Linked DNA regions of Drosophila melanogaster. The protein of the gene in region 2 interacts with the protein of the main gene of each other region in a pairwise test. Each region holds a gene or a part of one and is shown on either strand. Other genes may lie near its edges.

The links. The genes of interacting proteins can lie anywhere in the genome.
Region 1: the proteins of Smn (region 2) and Rpp20 interact in binary tests that used the Drosophila melanogaster proteins (3 or more experiments, as listed by UniProt).
Region 3: the proteins of Smn (region 2) and Gem3 interact in a two-hybrid assay, tested with the Drosophila melanogaster proteins (2 studies listed by BioGRID).

Annotation. Positions count from the first base shown.
Region 1 is NC_004354.4:19,741,345-19,747,636, forward strand, and holds Rpp20 (ribonuclease P protein subunit p20), read left to right. Parts: upstream 1-3,086; 5' UTR 3,087-3,184; coding exon 3,185-3,337; intron 3,338-3,410; coding exon 3,411-3,761; 3' UTR 3,762-3,762; coding exon of another isoform or gene 3,763-4,209; 3' UTR 4,210-4,554; downstream 4,555-6,292. Other genes in the region: CG18809 (uncharacterized protein), read right to left, coding at 436-1,524; CG33932 (uncharacterized protein), read left to right, coding at 3,763-4,209; parvin, read left to right, coding at 4,845-4,965, 5,298-5,387, 5,467-5,738, 5,906-6,292. UniProt on the Drosophila melanogaster protein: Component of ribonuclease P, a protein complex that generates mature tRNA molecules by cleaving their 5'-ends. Also a component of RNase MRP complex, which cleaves pre-rRNA sequences.
Region 2 is NT_037436.4:16,579,898-16,583,159, reverse strand, and holds Smn (survival motor neuron), read left to right. Parts: upstream 1-1,612; 5' UTR 1,613-1,708; intron 1,709-1,772; 5' UTR 1,773-1,977; coding exon 1,978-2,658; 3' UTR 2,659-2,762; downstream 2,763-3,262. Other genes in the region: Rpn12 (regulatory particle non-ATPase 12), read right to left, coding at 1-60. UniProt on the Drosophila melanogaster protein: Core component of the survival motor neuron (SMN) complex that plays an essential role in spliceosomal small nuclear ribonucleoprotein (snRNP) assembly in the cytoplasm, is required for pre-mRNA splicing in the nucleus and acts as a chaperone that discriminates target and non-target RNAs of Sm proteins.
Region 3 is NT_037436.4:10,457,343-10,466,265, reverse strand, and holds Gem3 (gemin 3), read left to right. Parts: upstream 1-3,164; 5' UTR 3,165-3,239; coding exon 3,240-3,429; intron 3,430-3,487; coding exon 3,488-6,384; 3' UTR 6,385-7,185; downstream 7,186-8,923. Other genes in the region: CG32061 (uncharacterized protein), read right to left, coding at 1,721-2,365.

The DNA.
Region 1 (6,292 bases), on a different chromosome or scaffold from region 2:
GTGAGGCGGTACACAACCGAATCGAAATCAAACGTAAATACAATTTCAGTGCATAAACGGGAAGGAAGAGATAGATATATAAATCACAATGGTTAGTTCTTCAGTTTGCGTTTGCTTAATGAGCGGTATATATCATATTATATTATATTATATCGATTCGTGTGAAAAAAATACAAATTACACTGCTCGCGCTTGCAGCTCATAAGCCCACCCACTCTCGACTAAAACTATAAGCTACGCATCTCTGCTCGCTTGTTTTCGTGTACAAAACATTTCAAAGGGGCCGGGAAGGGATCGCTATGTGATGGTGTCTCGGGAACAGGGGTATGGTCGAATCAAAATCGAATCTGCAGTACTGCGTCTGGGCAGTATACGTTTCTCGCTCTTTTTGCGTTCAAGTTCATGTTTCTATGGAAAGCGCGACTATTTCGGCGACTACTTGACCAGCGGCCGCTTGCCGTTGTCCGTATCGCAGGCGTTGCTCTTGTACTTGTTGACCTCGGCCAGGTACAACGACCAGAAGTCCTTCGGGTCCACGTCGCTCTCATTGGGCGTCTTCACTTTGGCCACTACGCCAGTTTTGAGAACTTTTCCGCCGCGACGTCGTCCCACGATGGGTGGCGGCGGCGCCAGCTTTCCGGCCGCCGCGGCAGCAATGTACGGCGCCGCAGCACTGCTGGCAGCTCCCAATGCAATGGCCGGCAGTGCAGGCCCTGTGGAGGCCGCCTCCGGCGGAACCAACTGCTGCTGCAGGACCTCTTTGACCGATGGCTGCATCAACTGGCTGGTCGCTTGCTGCTTTTGGCCCTCCTGCATCTTCTTAAACAGCTCCATGAACGAGCCGTCGTTGGCGAAGACAGGATGCGATGGTGGCTCAGGCTTTGGCGGCGGATACACTTTGCCCTCCCTGGCCAGTGCTTCGCGCAGCTTCTGCTCCATTTCGCGGTGGATGCGCTCCTTGTCAAAGGGCTCGTCGGTGTCCAGGTTGTAGTAGGCGCCCACCGCGGACGCGGCACTGCTCTTGCCAGCCAACTGGACTTGATTTGTGGCGGCGGCAGCTGCAGCGGCTGCCTTCTGTACGGCGCTTAGCTCCGATTTACTGGATGATGATGCATGGTGGCCTCTTCGTTGACTGTTGTTGGATCCATGGCCAATGTCAGAAGAGGACGGCGATTCCGAGCGTCGATAGTGGCTGGAGCGCCTTGAGTGGTCCCTATCGCGATCACGTTCGCGATCCCTAGAGCGATCTCGGGAGCGATCTCGGGAGCGATCTCTGGAGTCGCGGTCTCTGTGGTAACGGGATGACTGCCGTTTCTGGTGGCGGCGACGCTGGCCAAAGCGTTCGGCGGAGCGGCTGCGACTGCGGGAACGCGAACGGCTGCGACTGTAGCGACTGTGCTCTCGTCTGGAGGATCCGGAACCAGAGCCACGCTCGTAGTAGCCGCGCTGATGGCCGCGTGCGGCGCGCCGCTGGTGGCCGTCCTCCTGATCCCGCTGATAGTAGGGCAGGCGGGCCGCCGACATGTCGGGTGTGGATGTAGTGATGATCTGCAAATCGAAACTGTGCCGCGTTAAATCGAGCAGTTGACAGAGGCGCGTTTACGAAATACCTATACACAAGATCTGTATACTTTGTAATCAGTTAGCGTTTTGTTCTTTTTTTGGATCTGCGTCTCGGTTCGGTTCGGTACGGTTCGATTCTATTCTTTTCTGTTCGGTTTGGCGCGTGTCAGAATCTTGAATGGAGAACCAAGAATCGATAATCGAGAATCTAGCATTATTTTCGAGCACTGTCTTGACTTGGCTGGCGCTGGCTCCTTGACCGGGCCGAATCAGAATCAAAATCGGGTTGACTTGGGTGACATTGGGTACGGATTCGGGAGCCGGAACTCCAACCAAGTGGACGGGCGATAAGTAATGCTCGCGACAAGTAATGCTTCACTGCGCAGACGCGACTCTTATGCAATTTGGATACTCAGACTTGGATTTGGATGCATTGATTTGATTTGGACTCGATTTGATTTGATTCGATTCGATTTGATTGGATTGGTACTTGGCTGGCAGATTTCTGTTTGATAAAATGAGAAATGGTAATTTACTTGTTTGCGATGTCCGCTGCGGTGGAAGTGGATGTGGAAGGTGGTGTTGCTCCAACGTTGCGGCTACGTTACGTTATCATCCGTGGATGTTGTTCGTGCTGCTCGCCGTTGCTGCTGCTGTGGATGCGGAGGAGTCCTTCCGTTTGGCTGGCTACGTGCGAATCAGTGCGATTCAGCTTGTTAGCCTTTTAGCTTTTAGTGGCGATTTGTGCTTAACTCTTGACTGTTTGCGACTCTGAAACGTATCGGATTTTCGGATTCGCCTGCATGGAAAAATGACTTGAACGCATGAATACAAAACGTTACTCGAACCAGGACGCGCTGTGCAGGGGGTTTGATCTGATCTGATTTGAGTTGAGTTTTCTTTCTGGCTACAAAATAGTGGCTACGTTAAGGGGACTGTTTCTGTTCGCTTTCCGTTGCAACCCCTCGGTGGCGGGCGGTGACTTATGTAACCCTGGGGATCCGTACGCCCATTCGGTTACGGATCCATTTGGTGGGGGCCAACTTACGCAGGAAGATGCAGACCCGGCCCGCCCCTCATCAAACAACTCACCCCGACAGACATGACTACCCCGAGTGCATCAGCGAGTTATGTAACTTGTACTTTTTTCTTTCTTCTTTTCCTGCTGCCCGAGGAATTCGCCAGCGGAAGTGTGTAAGTGCGCTAGTGTATGTGTGTGTGTGTGCGAGTGTTGCGATTTGGAGTGGCGAAGTGGCGCCGCGCGGCCAAGTTAATTCTTGCTTTGGATGGCATCGATCGGTGCCTTGGCTTACGGTCTGGTGTACTTGATAAGGTGCCAAAACGAAAAACATACCTTTGTTGTTACGAGAGTACGACGAAAAATTTTCAACTGGCGAGAATCTCACGAGCCTGGCGATAGCTATAGCGATGGGCTGGCTCAAAACTATCGAGAGCTGTCACGGTGACAGCTAGAGCCAGGCTGCCAGATCGCTCAGCTATTGCCTAGTGTTCGCTAGAGTTGGCCAGTGTTGGCCAGCGTGCGATTCGGAATGGAGTCGCGAGTCCGAAACTGCGACACGCGCAGGTAAATGGAAAACACAAGTCGCCTCCTCCGCCGCTGATGATGGGAAGCAATTATCCCGAGCACGGGACCAAGCCGAGATCCGCCAAATACCACAAACAACAGAACCACCGAGTGGTGCGCAAGCAGCCGCCGCGTCCCGCTGTTAGCGACCGCCACAACATCTACATCACCAGCAAGACAGACTTTAAGGCAAGTAGAACTGAACTCATGCTGGATGGTGAATCGCCCATGTGCTAAGTGACAGAGTCCATCTCCTTGACAGGCCCAGCAGCGCCGCTGCGAGGAGCTGATTAACTCCGGCGCCCACGAGATCTTTCTGCATTGCATGGGCTTCTCCGTAACCCGCGGCCTCAATATCGCCCTACGCCTCGTCCAGAATTCTGACGGCGCCCTTAGCTACGCCATCAACACCTCCACCGTTCAGCTGGTGGACGAACTGCACCCGCTGTGCGATGCCGAGGACATAACCTTCCGCCAGCGCAACAACTCGGCCCTGCACATCAAGATCCTCAATAACAGTCTCTTCGACATCGCCGTGCCGCAACCGTCGCAGTCCCAGACGCAAGCCCAGTCCCTGGGCCAGTTCCGAGGCAAGGCGAAGGCCAGGCAGTAGCATGTTCAAACTCTCGGAGCTGGTGCGCTGGCTGGGGCTCACCGAGTTCGAGATTCTGGTCAATCTGTGCGGCCTGCTGGTGTTCACCATCACGCTGACCGTCAAGCTCCATCTGCAGGCCAGGGCCGGACCCGGTGGCATACTCCCGGAGCCCATGGGCGACTGGTTCACCGTCTTCAGCCCCCTGTTCTTCATCGACATCTGCAACGCGTACTTTTGCGTCATTGTGGGCATCCGCATGTACCTGGACTCTAACAACAAGCGCAAAGCCCTGCATCGCTTCATGTGGAGCACGTATTTCCTGGTGCTCATCGCCATCTTCAAGTACCTGCTCTGCCTGAAGCTATCCAGCAAGACGGGCCTCGAGTATTCGGAGGTCTTCTCGCCGATCTTCGTTCTGTTGCAGCTCGTGGCTGTGCGCGCCTGCCAGTTGCCCAACTCCATCTAAACCATAGACGTAGTATAGCCCTAGTTCCGTATTATACATATATGTAACTATTCTGAAAGCCTTTAAATCATTGGATTGGTAGTTATCTGTATACGCAATGTGGTACAATAATTTTTAAGCGGTACGAAATTTATCTTTCTGGATATAGCATATCTAATATATACGAATTATATCTGATCTGATTCGGTATGAAGGACATACATACATACATATGTTGTTGTGCTTTTTAATCAATGATCTAATGATCTACGCATTATAATTTTTTTAAAATTTCCAACAATTTAATTTGATGTACAAATTCAAAAACTATTAAGCTGATATGAATTTCTTCTAGCTGTTGTTGTCAAAAGCCACATTTTTTTTAAATTATAAATGAAAAATAACATTTAAGCTCATTGTTTTAATTTAATCTAAGGTCTTTTTAAACAATTTTTATAATTGGCAATTTAGTTTTTATTCGATTTTTTTGGAAGTTTCTCTTGAGTCCGAACGCCAGTGTTGGACAACATGTGTGGTGGGCCTGCGATCAGGTGGCAGCCCCAAGGGAAACTGATTGCTCAGCTCCGCCCGAAACGAATCGAAACAATAACACAAACTGTTCACTTAGTCCGGAATTCTTGGAATCCAGCAGCACCATGTCCACACTGAACCGCCCTAAATCCCCGCACACGCCCACCGCCATTAAAAAGGGCGAGAAGGAGGACAGCTTCTGGGACAAGTTCAGCACTTTGGGCCGCAAACGCGGCACCCGCGAAGGTAAGTCCACTTGATGATTGGAGCTCTCCAGATGGCTATTGTCGGCCAGGAATTGATGGGTATCCCAGAGTATTCCATTCTTGGACCCCTGAACCTCCGAAAAGTGGCCCAAAATGACCCAATGGATCCTCCCCCTGCGCACTGGAAGCTCTTCTGGGAACAGATGTGCGGATGCGCTGATTAATCAGAACATTGCGTCACTGTTGACCCACACAAGCAAACGGCGCTGATAATCGAGAGTGTGTGCGTTTGTGTGAGATGGCCTTGTGTCGTCACCGTTTTTGTTTACCTTGTTGATACCCTAAATACGCATCCGCTTGCTCCATTTGCAGTGAAGAAGGTCCAAGAGGAGGGCAAGTACGCCATCGACTCGCCTGGATCGCCCAGCCAGTATGACATCCCGCCGGAGGACTATGCCCTGCGTAAGTGCATTCGTTTTGAAGGGGCATCTCCTCGTATACCCATCGCATTTCCCACAACTCATCACATTTGATCCTACAGGCGAGCACGAACAGCGCGCCGTCATCGATCCACAGTCCATCAGTGATCCCCAGGTGATAAAGCTGCAGCGCATCCTCGTCGACTGGATCAACGACGAGCTGGCCGAGCAGCGCATAATTGTTCAGCACCTGGAAGAGGACATGTATGACGGCCAGGTGCTGCACAAGCTGTGGGAGAAGCTCACCGGCAAGAAGCTGGACGTTCCTGAGGTCACCCAGTCAGAGCAGGGCCAGCACGAGAAGCTCAACATCGTCCTGAAGGCCGTCAACCATGTAAGTAGTAGTAGTTTATGTTTTGCAGGATTTAAAAATCGGAGTTACCAACATTTAATTATTTATCCATTCTTAAAGTCGAATAGAATAATTTTTATTCGATTTACAATTAACATTCCCTTTTCTCGCGATATAAGAATAAATTTTATCCTTGCCCACACCCACAGACACTCGGCTTTCACCAAAAGATTCCCAAGTGGTCGGTGGCCAGCGTGCACTCGAAGAACATTGTGGCCATATTACATCTGCTGGTGGCACTGGTGCGTCACTTCCGGGCGCCCGTTCGCCTGCCAGAGAACGTGTTCGTGACCGTCGTGATTGCGGAGAAGAATGCGGGCGTGCTGAACGCGCAGAAGTTCCAGGAGCAGATAACGTCCGAGTACGACGACCTGGGCATGCGCTGCGAAAAGGACGCCTTCGACACGCTGATCGACTGTGCGCCGGACAAGCTGGCCGTGGTGAAGAAGTCCTTGATCACGTTCGTGAACAAGCACCTGGCCAAGCTGAACTTTGAGATCAGCGATCTGAACACGGACTTTCGCGACGGCGTATAC
Region 2 (3,262 bases):
TGGTGGCCGCTTTGACCACTCGGCGGTCAGTTCTTTGTACAGCGATTCCACGTTGGCCATTCTTTAGATTGGTATATTGAAGCTTAAATGTTTTCTGCAAATTCCCAAGATGATTTTCGCTTTTTTTTAGAGATGGCAATTGTTGTAGGGTAAAGCGATAGGACAATCGTTATCGGAACAGTTATCGATTGTCAAGTTACCACAGGGCTGGGAATATTATTTAAGTGTAAGTTTAAGTTGAAAAATACATTTTTTAGACGAACTCTATATAGTTTAACAGTTTACAACTGAAAGCTTTATGATTTGATCCAAGGGGTATTGTATTTCCTTTGTGCTTTAATATCGATATATTTTAACAAACTATCTAATGGAGTTTAAATCTAAATTTTCGCATTTAAGCTCGGACTGTTTATTCAATTAGTGATTGTCTCAGTATAGTTAAAAATTTCGGGTATTGAAATCACGTCTATTTGACCTTGGGCATAAGTTTTGTGTCAAGAATAACTTAAATTATTAAGCGATTCAGAACTCTCATTCTTTGTGGGTCTTTAGATGGTACCGCAGTTGCGTGTTCGTGAAATAGCTTTTGGAGCACTTGGTGCATGGGAACGGTCGCTCTCCTGTGTGGCTCATCATGTGAATTCGAAGATGCGCATTCTGGGTAAAACGCCTTAGGACATTGGGAGCACTTGAAGGGGCGTTCGCCTGTGTTGATTATTAGATGCCTTTTAAGATTGGAAGCCAGCGTAAAATTCGATGTACAATGGGGGCACCGTTTTTCAGTGTGTATTGCAATATGTCCCGAAAGATGCGATACGCTCTTCAAAGCCTTTGCTGCTAAGCAGCAAGTGCTGCTTAAGTGCTGAGTTTATCCAAAACCTCGTTGGGCAATGAGGACATTGAAGCAGCTTATCATTATCACGTCCTTTATTTTGCAATCTATGGTTTTCACAACTATCATAGTCTTCGTCTATTACCTCAATATTGACTTGGCTATTGGATTGATCGCTGTCACAGTCCACGAACTGATCATCGTCTTTAAAGAGGCTCGTTCTACACTAGACAACATTCCCATTGGATCATGCCACTGCCTCGCCAATCTTCAACTACACTTTCGAGTTCGACAAAATGCTGAAAAGCACCTCCATCGATACTCGATTCCCCATCCTCGGAATAAGATACCTTGCGGAATCGGGATTCCTCCATTAACTAAACGTAAAATTATTAGCTCCTCTGGTGGGTTTTTCTAAACTCGAACGCATTTTGTGCATCTTGGCAGCAGGAGGTGCAAAATGTTTCGGGTAGATGATCGCCTTTTTCCACTTTGAGGCCAGTGCACTCGGAAATGATTGACGCTATTGAAGCTTCAGTGCCGTGCTTAACTTCAAAAATATTGAACTCGTTTTCACATTGCCCGAGGCAAATTCGGCACACCAACCCCAACTCCATACCTCCGAAATTGAGTTAAAAAATTTAGCGATCTCGCTTTCAGGTCGGATCGATCAATTTATTGTTTGTTTATTGTGTTAAAGATGCATGCTGATAAGTATCGATACTATCGTGCGGTTAATGGGGACGATAGGTACAACACCACTCACAATAAAGTATTTTTAGTGGAAAGTATAAAAAGAAGACTTCAATTAAAACAATAAATACAATACAATTACATTGGAAGTATTCTGATTGCATTGTGAATGTTGGCCACAAAGTATGAAAACTTTTTTCAGCTTTACTGAATTTAAATATTTCTTAACCATTTCGTTCGCTTTCAGAATAATATAATACCCAGAATGACTTCATAAATTTTATCACATCTTAGTTTGAATGTACACCTTTTAGCGATAGTTTCATGTTTCGGCCTGTGCTGCTAAGCGGTGATTCGCCTGCGCTTTCCAACACACAGCAAATTCGCATAAAAGCGAAACTTGGTTCTTCCTTTAAAAACGTGATACTTGCCTGATAGGATAGAAAGCCGAGATGTCCGACGAGACGAACGCCGCGGTGTGGGATGACTCCTTGCTGGTGAAGACGTACGACGAGTCGGTGGGACTGGCCCGCGAAGCTTTGGCCCGCCGCCTCGCCGATTCCACCAACAAGCGCGAGGAGGAGAACGCTGCCGCAGCTGAAGAAGAAGCTGGCGAGATCTCGGCCACTGGTGGGGCTACCAGCCCGGAACCAGTATCCTTCAAAGTAGGCGACTACGCCAGGGCCACCTACGTGGATGGTGTGGACTACGAGGGCGCTGTGGTGTCTATTAACGAGGAGAAGGGCACCTGCGTACTCCGCTATTTGGGCTATGAGAACGAGCAGGAGGTGTTGCTCGTGGACCTCCTGCCGTCCTGGGGCAAGCGTGTGCGTCGCGAGCAGTTCCTTATCGCCAAGAAGGATGAGGACGAGCAGTTGAGCCGCCCTAAGGCATCCGCTGGTAGTCATTCAAAGACTCCCAAGTCATCCAGAAGGAGTAGGATCTCTGGCGGACTGGTTATGCCGCCCATGCCACCAGTACCGCCCATGATTGTCGGACAAGGGGACGGCGCCGAACAGGACTTCGTGGCCATGCTCACCGCCTGGTACATGTCCGGCTATTATACGGGCCTCTACCAGGGAAAGAAAGAAGCCAGCACCACTAGCGGAAAGAAAAAGACACCCAAGAAGTAATTCCATCTTATCTCATCATCACATCACATCTTTTCGAAAGACTTGTAGATATTAAGAAAACAGAACGATTAAATTTATTATATTAAAGAGTCAGTATCGTCATGGTGGGATCTCGTTTCAATTGCTACATAAATGGAAAAAAAAAATGCCGAGGCAGGCAGAAATTTAGGTTGACATTCAATATGGCCACTTGAGAAAATCAGTGCTTCGATACATTTCGTAGCGAGCGGTTGAGTTTGTAGTATAACGGAATTTTCATAACCTTCGATAGATCGTAGAATGGCGATATTTTAGCTGGCAGTATACAAATCAGAAAAGAAAAAAAACGGATATTTTGATTGGTAAGCAGACTTTCTTACACTGCAATAGATTTCTTTAACTTTGGGTATCGTGTAGCTGTTTTAAAATCAGAAGCTGAAAAATTTTATTGATAAAAAATAAGATATAATGATAAAGAGAGTACATGGTAGTATTGCCTAATTAACAAACTAGCTAAAAATGCGCTTGGACCTTTTAACCGTCCATATTCAACACTGCCAAATGCATCCTTTATTTTCACAGGCTTACGATTTGAAATATAAGTGGTAAATCCTTCTCTTTTGCA
Region 3 (8,923 bases), 6.1 Mb from region 2:
AAAGGAACGAACGAAATGTGTTGTCTGCTTTCGTTGCTAAAATCGGTAAGACTAAACCAAACCGAACAAATTTTTTGATAACTGTAATGAAACGGAATACTAGATCAGATTAAATTCAAATGATGTGTCAAATAAGGAAAAACATATATGTACGTATAAACTATGTACAAACTTTGTATCTATGTATATGTATAGGTCCAGAATCTAAAGCTTTACTTACAGTTGCGATCAGAAGAACATTTGAAACTTGCAGATATTTTACTAGTAGATTAAATTATGTATAGGAAATTTATAAGCGAAATTTGGCTCCATTGGTTTTGTACATATGCTTTATTCTAAAGACTTTCTTGTTTCAACAAGGAAGAGTTATTATTTTTAATGCATTTTCTTATATATATAAATTATATACTATTACTGCAAGGGTATATAAGCTTCATGTTTTTTTGGAAACTAAGAACAAAGAACTAAGCTTATTATTAATTTGGCTAGATCAAAAACTTGTATATTTATAAGGTCGGAAATGCTTTTACCTCTCTTATACTTTTCTGCTAATCTAGTATACCCCTTCAATCTTACGGGTAGTATACATATTCTTTGATTTAAGTCCCTAAGACATTGCATTTAATTTAAAAGTAGAAAGAAAATAATATTAGTTTTTTTTTATGCTATTTGCAGTGTTATATTTCTTCAAAGACGAAACCACTACTGCAAATCTGGTAAGTTACCAAGAAAAACTAGATTCAAAATTCTAAGATCCTTTTAAAGAGTTGATAGAGAACCTATGAAATATTCTAACTGGTACCCCGAAACGATATATTATTTCCTCTCAGTCTAGTTGTTAGTTATATTACTTACCAGCAAGTCGAAACAGTGGACCGAAATGGGGGAATCGAGAGTTGACCCGAATTGTGTTGTTTGCCAATGGAGAACTCAAGAAACGATCCTTGCAAGTGTCGTTTTTCCTCGTTTGCTGACCGACACAGATCCTGTCGATATGATTCAGTGTCCAAAGCGCGAATAACTTTCGGCACTAAAGCAATTTACATAAAATGTTTATTTGGGTATAATTTTGAAATGTGCTCGGAGAATTCTCGTTTTTAAGTGAACTTCGATCGGTTGAGTGTCATGTCGGTGATGTTGAGATTTCTATAATACACAAATAGATATTTAAAAGGTCAATAATGCAGGAGTACTGCTATTAAGAGTTTTCTGACTATAATTCCCCATTCAATGAAAAGCTCTTGAAATAATCATATAAGGATACAAACATTTTTTAAAGCAAAAAATAGCACTTGTGTATTTATGTACTCCTTTCACATTTATTCACCGTGAGTTTTCTCCACTGAATAAAAGTGAGCAAGAAAAAGTGATTGCCGCATATTTCCCACGTGGTGGAAAAGTTTTTTCCAACAATAAAATGCCAAGCGGTGCATAAAGTTCATAGAAAAGTTTTCTCTTTTGTTGATTGAAAATGTCGCTTATTGTCGCAGGCAAAACACCAGAAGAAATCAACAATACAAATGTTGTTGAGAAATTAAAACTAACAATAAACCAATAACGAATTCCAATGCTCAATTAATGCTACAATAATTTAAGTTTACTGATCAAATCAAAATCACTTTAAAACTTTAGAGCTAAGTCAACAAAATCGATTTATTTTCCATTATTATAATTTTTGCATCAAACATAAAATAAAAATTTTAAATATAGATTGCCATGTTCAGTCCAAAAGATGTGTTTCAATGGAAATACAATTTCCAGAAAGATGAGATGCCTTCTCCAAGGATACTCCTCCGCCGATAATTTGCGACCAATAGGGTATTAAAGTCACGGATGTAGAACGATGCCAAAAGAGGCCTTGCAGTTCTCCATAAAGCTGAATCGCCCTCCAGTTAGATATGCAAAAATGCTGTATGACCATGTAAAATCGAATATAGTTGATCAATCCGCTGGCCACAAAGGTCAATATCCAGGGCAAAGCAAATAACAGGAATATATTCCGCGGCAGGGTTCCGTTTTTCAATGCGGAATTCTGTTTTTTGATCCAATTGTTTTTCACTTGCTCTGCAGCTGTTGTCGTAGTTTTAAGGATTCCTTTCTTTTCCATCGATACCTCACTTTTGCCACTTTGCAAGTGTCGTGAGTACCAAACTCCGATCATAGATAGTAGTGAATACATTATGGCCTTAACCAGCATCCAGTGATTGTATTTATAGCCCAATTGAAGCGTTAGATTACGATTCACGGAGGGATAGACCGTTTTTAGATTGGCATTCGCCTCGATGACCGGCTGAAGATTTGAGCCCAAGTGCAGGGATGTCAGCAGCGCAAAGTAACCAATGTCTCGTATTTTGGGTATGAACATGGTTCTCGAATTTGGAGTTCAAAATGAAAAAATTTTAAGTCGTTTTTTAAATTTTGTATCTAATTTTGTGTGACCTCAATGTGCTCTGACATTCCCAGTCTGATTGCTTAAAAAACGTTATATTATAAACATTTTTTGATTTTTATTTTAAATTATACGTAATTAAAATTACGTAATTAAACAATTAGGTAAATAATAAAAGATTTTATCGTTGTTTGTTATAAATTAATTTATTAAATTGAAAGGCAGCGTGCTGAAACTACTTAACTGCATCAACTTATTTTAGCGACATAAATTATTTGAAATTCCCGCCAGCTGGTACAGTTTGAGAGCAACTATTAGCTGTGCTAAAACCCCTGCATTTAAGTGCTTGACAATCTTGCCTTATTCCAACCTATTGGAAATATAAATTTCATATTAAAACAATCAACGGTACGATGTACATATTTTTTTATTGTAAAACAATATATTGTTAAGATTTCAAAAGGAATTAATTTTTTATTTTTAGTTCAATTGGTTGGAGTGCTTGGTAAATAGTTAGCACAGATAGCAACCTTGGTGTGAGCCTTCGCTAATATTTCGACATAAGATTTAAATACAGAAAATAATATTTAATTCTAACAATTATACCTTATTTCTGTGTGAAATTATGAAAAATGTAAACATTTCTCTGAATACAAATGACATTTCGTTACTGTAGGTTTTGTTCTGTGTAAATAGGTTTAATATTCACGGATAATTCGTTTGTAGTATATTTTAGTATATAATTATTCGCGTATGATGGATTTTTTGGCCGGCAATAAAAAAGTGTAAATTGTAGCAAGGCAACCGAATCGTTTCAAAATTTTGTCCAAAAAGTGGAAATTTACGCGAAATGGAGCGCGAAATAGCGCACAGTTTAGCTGGCGGCGAGGAACGAAGTAGCGATGTGGCACCTGGACAGGTTAAGACCTTCGAGGAACTGCGTCTATACCGAAATCTGTTGAACGGATTGAAGCGCAACAATTTCGTGACGCCAACGAAGATTCAGGCAGCTGCCATACCCATGGCACTGGCCAAAATGGGTAAATATCTTGCATGCAACAGAAGATTATCAATAATAGTTGCTATATTAATCTGCAGATCTAATAATACAATCGAAGAGTGGAACTGGCAAAACTCTAATCTATGTTATAGCCGTCGTTCAGAGCTTTAATCCCAACATAAACCAACCGCATGCCATGATCGTGGTCCCAACTCGAGAGCTGGCCATTCAGGTGCAGGACACATTTTTCCATCTCTGCAAATCGTTTCGGGACTTTAAATGCTCTGCTTTCATCGGTGGCACCGATGTGGCCAAGGATCGCAAGCGAATGAATGAAAGTCGAGTCATTATCGGTACACCGGGACGTTTGCTGCATCTGTATGAGAATAGAGTATTCGATGTGTCCAAACTGCGACTGCTGGTGCTCGACGAGGCCGATCAACTTTATCAGACAAAGAGCCTGCAGCATACGGTCAGTAAACTCATTGAGGCAATGCCCAAGAATCGGCAAATAATTGCCTGCAGTGCCACATACGATCAGAATTTGGATGAGCGTCTGGCCAAGGTCATGGACAAACCCATGCTTATATCGAATTCCGAAAGGGCTACCGTTCTACTGGGCATTCGGCAGTTTGTCTACGAATTGCCACAGCAGAATAACAGTGTGGAGGAGATGCGTCTTAAACTGCAGATTCTTGGCCAGATCTTTAATCAGCTGCCTTACGAACAGGCCATCATCTTTGCTAGCTCACAAATGCGAGCGGATTCTTACAAGAACTATCTTACAGCCAGTGGTATCGATTGTCATTTAATTTCGGGAGCCATGGAACAATCGGAGCGTTTGCATGTTTTCGAGGGCTATAGAAACTTTACTATGCGCATCCTGGTGGCCACTGATTTGATGGCACGCGGAGTGGACTCCCCGCATGCCAACCTGGTTATCAACATTGATCCACCACAGGATCATGTCACCTATTTGCACCGCATTGGACGAGCTGGTCGGTTTGGCTCCAAAGGCATAGCCATCACGTTTATTGCCTCCAAGAAGGAGAGCCAGAGATTTAGGGAAATGTCAAAAAAAATCGCTACGGCTTGGTCGGTTCTGGAGTTTCCCAAGGAGCCAATGCCCAATGAATTCAATTTTTGGGATTTCGAAAAGTACAACTTTGATTATTACATTAAGGAAGAGAATCCGCTACAGGAAATGCCTATGCCTATTAAAGAAAATAGAAGTAAAGAAAATGTTGATGCTTCTTCAGTTGACTTGGAAAATCTTCAAAAGGATCAGGATGGCAAAAGGAGAGATCCAGACAAACTACCAGTGGCCTTAGAAAATGTTGAAACCCAAAAAGAGTTGGAGCTCGAAAACTTACCAGAAAGTTCACATAATAATAAGAATCTTAGGGTCAAAGAGAAAGAAATTGTAAGGCAAGGAAAGCTTAAAGAAACTAATTCCAAAGCTGGAGGTTCTAAAACGAACAAGACGGAGAGAAGGAAAAAATCTAACACTCCATCAAAGTTACAGAAACAAATAACTGAAGTGCAGCAAACACCAGAGATCACCGTAAATAAATACTATATGCAAGAAGACATACAACGAACAGCAGACGGCAAAGAGTATCATCCTGTTAATGGAGCGGGAAACCACCAGGTTCCGTCAAAATCTAATCAAAAACCGGTGGAGTTTATATCTCCCGAATTGACACCAACCCTAACACCATTGGAACTGACCCAGGAGCCGTCTCCAACCACAGTGACACCACCTGCACCGCCAGCCAACTCGATTAACAACAAAACCTATTGCCTAGCTGCTCCAACGCAAACCAGTTCGATGACCATACAGAACATGGTAATATCGAACACGGTGGACGATGCCAGTAGCATCAGTTCGGATAGCATGGTGGTATGTGGCTATCATAGCGATAGGTCCTACGACACATACTATGCAACCAGTGATGAGGAGGAGATCTGGAATAGATTAATGTCGAAACAAAGGCGTCAGCTGAAGAGCAAGAGAGGCCATGGAAAACGGCGTGTGATACTATACAAGAAAGTATTTCCTAAACTAAAGGCGAATGTTAAACGCAAGCTTAAAAAACGGATGAGCTCGTCATGCAGATCCAAAAAAGCACACCATTTGCGAAAACGTCATGTATACAAAAATATATCACTTTTGCCACACATGAATTTGTGTCATCTGCTTCAAAAATTTACAAATCAAGAGAGATTTTTGAAACGGCTCCACAAATATGCAAAGAATCAATTCATTGACAATGCGAGGGTTGGCTTTTTGCTGGATAAGCTCTATAAATCCATCCTGGAAATGTACTATAACAGTGCTAAGGAGAGGAAGAAGCATTTTAAGGAAGCTATGAAGGAGTCCCTAAAATCCATTGATAACTACGAGAGCCAAGAGTCTTCGGAATCAGAGGAGGAGGAGGAGGAGGAGAAGGATCTAAAGAACAAGTTAAGTGTTCATGTGACGAATCAGATGGACATACCACCAATGCCACAGGCCGCTGTTGAAATTGGTTCAGGAAGTGAATCGGATACGGAGGACTCGCAGGAATACGGCGAAGGCGAAGAGATCATTGTGGACGATGAGGACGATGGCAGCGATGGCGGGCCAAATTCATCGAGTGGTTTTGTAGAGAGTCAGGAGAGTGTTTCGTCTGGAATAGACACTTCCGTTTACGAAACGGAATCTACGGGCGCATCTGGAAATAATTCAAGTGCATTCTTTATTTCGGATGATGAATCAGATACTGAATCCTTAACAGATTCGGAAGCTGGAAGCAATGTCAGCGCGACAGGATCAAGCTCACAGCGATCTTCAGTAGCGAGCAGCACCTATGAATCTTCGGATGATGATTCTGTAACTGTAACCAATGTCAGTTCAATGCAGAACGCTCAATCATTGTGGTTGCAGACTTTCAACATGCAGTACCAATTCATTGCATCCCATGTGGCCAAGAATCTACAGAACTATTACTAAGTGGTTATGAATGAAAAACTAGTGAAAACTCAGGCATTAAAATTAAACTCAACTAATCACTTCATTCGGAAACAAAACGGATCAGTTCCAAGAGAGGCTGTATCAGTCTCTTTCCTTACAATTGTATATCGTAGCCAGTTAAACCGTTTTCTTAATTAGAATACTCAATGTCGAAATAGTTGATAGCATGTTGGATACCATGAATGTTTTTTTATGCAAGCAATAAATTGCAGAATTTGTTACCAAAAAAATAAATGAATTAAAGCAGGAAACTAACTATTTTGAATTTATTAAACAATAAGTTCATTGCTCAACTTCTTTGATTTCAAAATTGATTGTTTTTCATGTTTATTCGCTACATAATCGCATCAAACAAATTAATCCACAATGTGAAAGTTAAATCCCTTTAATCACTCGCAATGATTTATCTAAGAGATGGGAAAACAAACATTTTTCTTGGTTTCGGCAAGCCGGATGGATGAAGGTAAAGAAGCGGCGCCAACCGACTGCCGGGACATAAATCATATAGTCAGTGGGATCGGGATCGGCATCGACCATCGACCATCGGGCAACGGGCATCAGCTGTGTGGCAGACAACATTGTTGCACGGGCGCCGCTCACTTTGCAACTGACTGCAGAGGTGTTAACCCATTAATTAGCTGTTGTCAAAAGTCGTTCACTCGATTTTGAAAGCCACTCGAAAATCAGAATGGATTGTACAAAAATATGACATATATTTATGTTTTATTTATTTATTTAATGCATTTTGTGAATTATTTGTGCAACGAATGCCATGTTTGTCAGCAAATAAATGAGTTCTACTATTTTCTTTTTATACTCCACTGCTGTATTTAATTTTTAAAATACTTCGATTCATAAATAATTTATTTTTAAATTGATTAAATGCAGTTAAAATTTTTAAGTTTCCTTTTACGAGTTTTGTGTCCCCATTTGCGAGTGCTTCGCAATGGGTTAAGCGAATGAGACGGTCCACAGGCGGCATGCCGCGTCGGTGGCATAGTCAAAACATTCGCCCTGCGGTCGAGCACGCAAAAAGCCGGCATCTGGATGGTACTGCTCATTGGTCGTCGATCTGCAGTGCCCCAAGTGCCCCTCTTTTGGAGTGCAACACCCCTCCCCCCCCTGCGTTGCAAGTCCAATAAGGAGCGTGAGAAAACGCAAATTCAAAGCGAGCTGGAAGCGACAACATTTTATAGATCCTAGAGACATGGATAGCGTTGCATTTTGTCGCTGCCGCAGTGGCAGCAAACTCAATTCGATTAGCGATAAATGCGAGATGCGAAAAATGCTCGGCCAGCTGGTGCAGGTGTTAAAGTCTTATAATGATGTTAACATTTTTATGGCTCACAACAAAATAAACTAAAAATTTGTTCAGCGCAATAATATTTTTGCGGTCTCGTCGTCCATATATGGGGGCACCAGGCAATTGCCGCCGCGTTTTTTTTTGTGTTTTTCATCTGTGGGCCAAGTGGAACGCTCCAGGGGCCATGGGCAATTTGCAGATACTGATTCAGATACACCGGGCCGCACAAAACCTAATTAAAATTGCTGAACGTCGTGAAAATAATTATAGCGATATTAATAGAAAATTAAGTAAAATATCACATTTAGGATATTACAACAATTGCTTTTTAACATGAAGCTGCAAACGTAATAATTAAAATAAGGATATGAGCTTAAGATAGTCACAATGAAATTAGATAATTGATTAGTCAGCTACGATAGATATGCAAAATTTTATTTTATTGATAATTGGTATTGAATATACCAATAAACAGATAAAACGCTATCTTTGCTGACCTGAAAACCAAATAAATGAGGCACGTTAAGATGCAAGAATCCATTAGTCGCCCAACTGCTAATTAGAATTTATTGCTTATGAAATTATGATAAACGAAGTAGAGATCTCAATTAAGATAGCCAACGCGCTAATCAATTTAACTTAATCCTAGCCCTTGGCTAACCGAAGATTAGCAGCAGCTGAAGATATTACCTTCCCCCCCACCAGCCGCCCCCTTTTCGACCCCTTGGGGGTGTGGCTCAGCTCCGATTTATGTGACCGAATGCACAACGCCCGGCCACGCATTCATAAATAAAAGTCATCATTAATTAAATTTAGTATAAACAACATGGCATGCCTGCAATTATTCACTCACTCATTCACTCGCTTGTTGCTCTTTCGGCCCAAAACGCGACGACATGGCAACAAATAAAAAAAATAAAAAAAAAACATGAATAAATAAATAAAAACTAAAAGCGTAAGAAGCCAAAGGAAACAAAATAAATAAAATAAATAAGCCAAAAAAGAAACGATAGGAAAACGCACGCAATACGCGCCGGGCAAACAAAGCAGAAAAAATCGTTGACAAAAATGATCTGTGGGCAATTATAATGAATTATTTTGACACTTAGGGCCTGTGCAAATGCATAACTTAAATGCATAAACGTAATTTATGCAGTGCCCCACTGAAATGCTGTTTTATCGCATTTTAAATGTGATAAATAAAGTTCTGGGTTA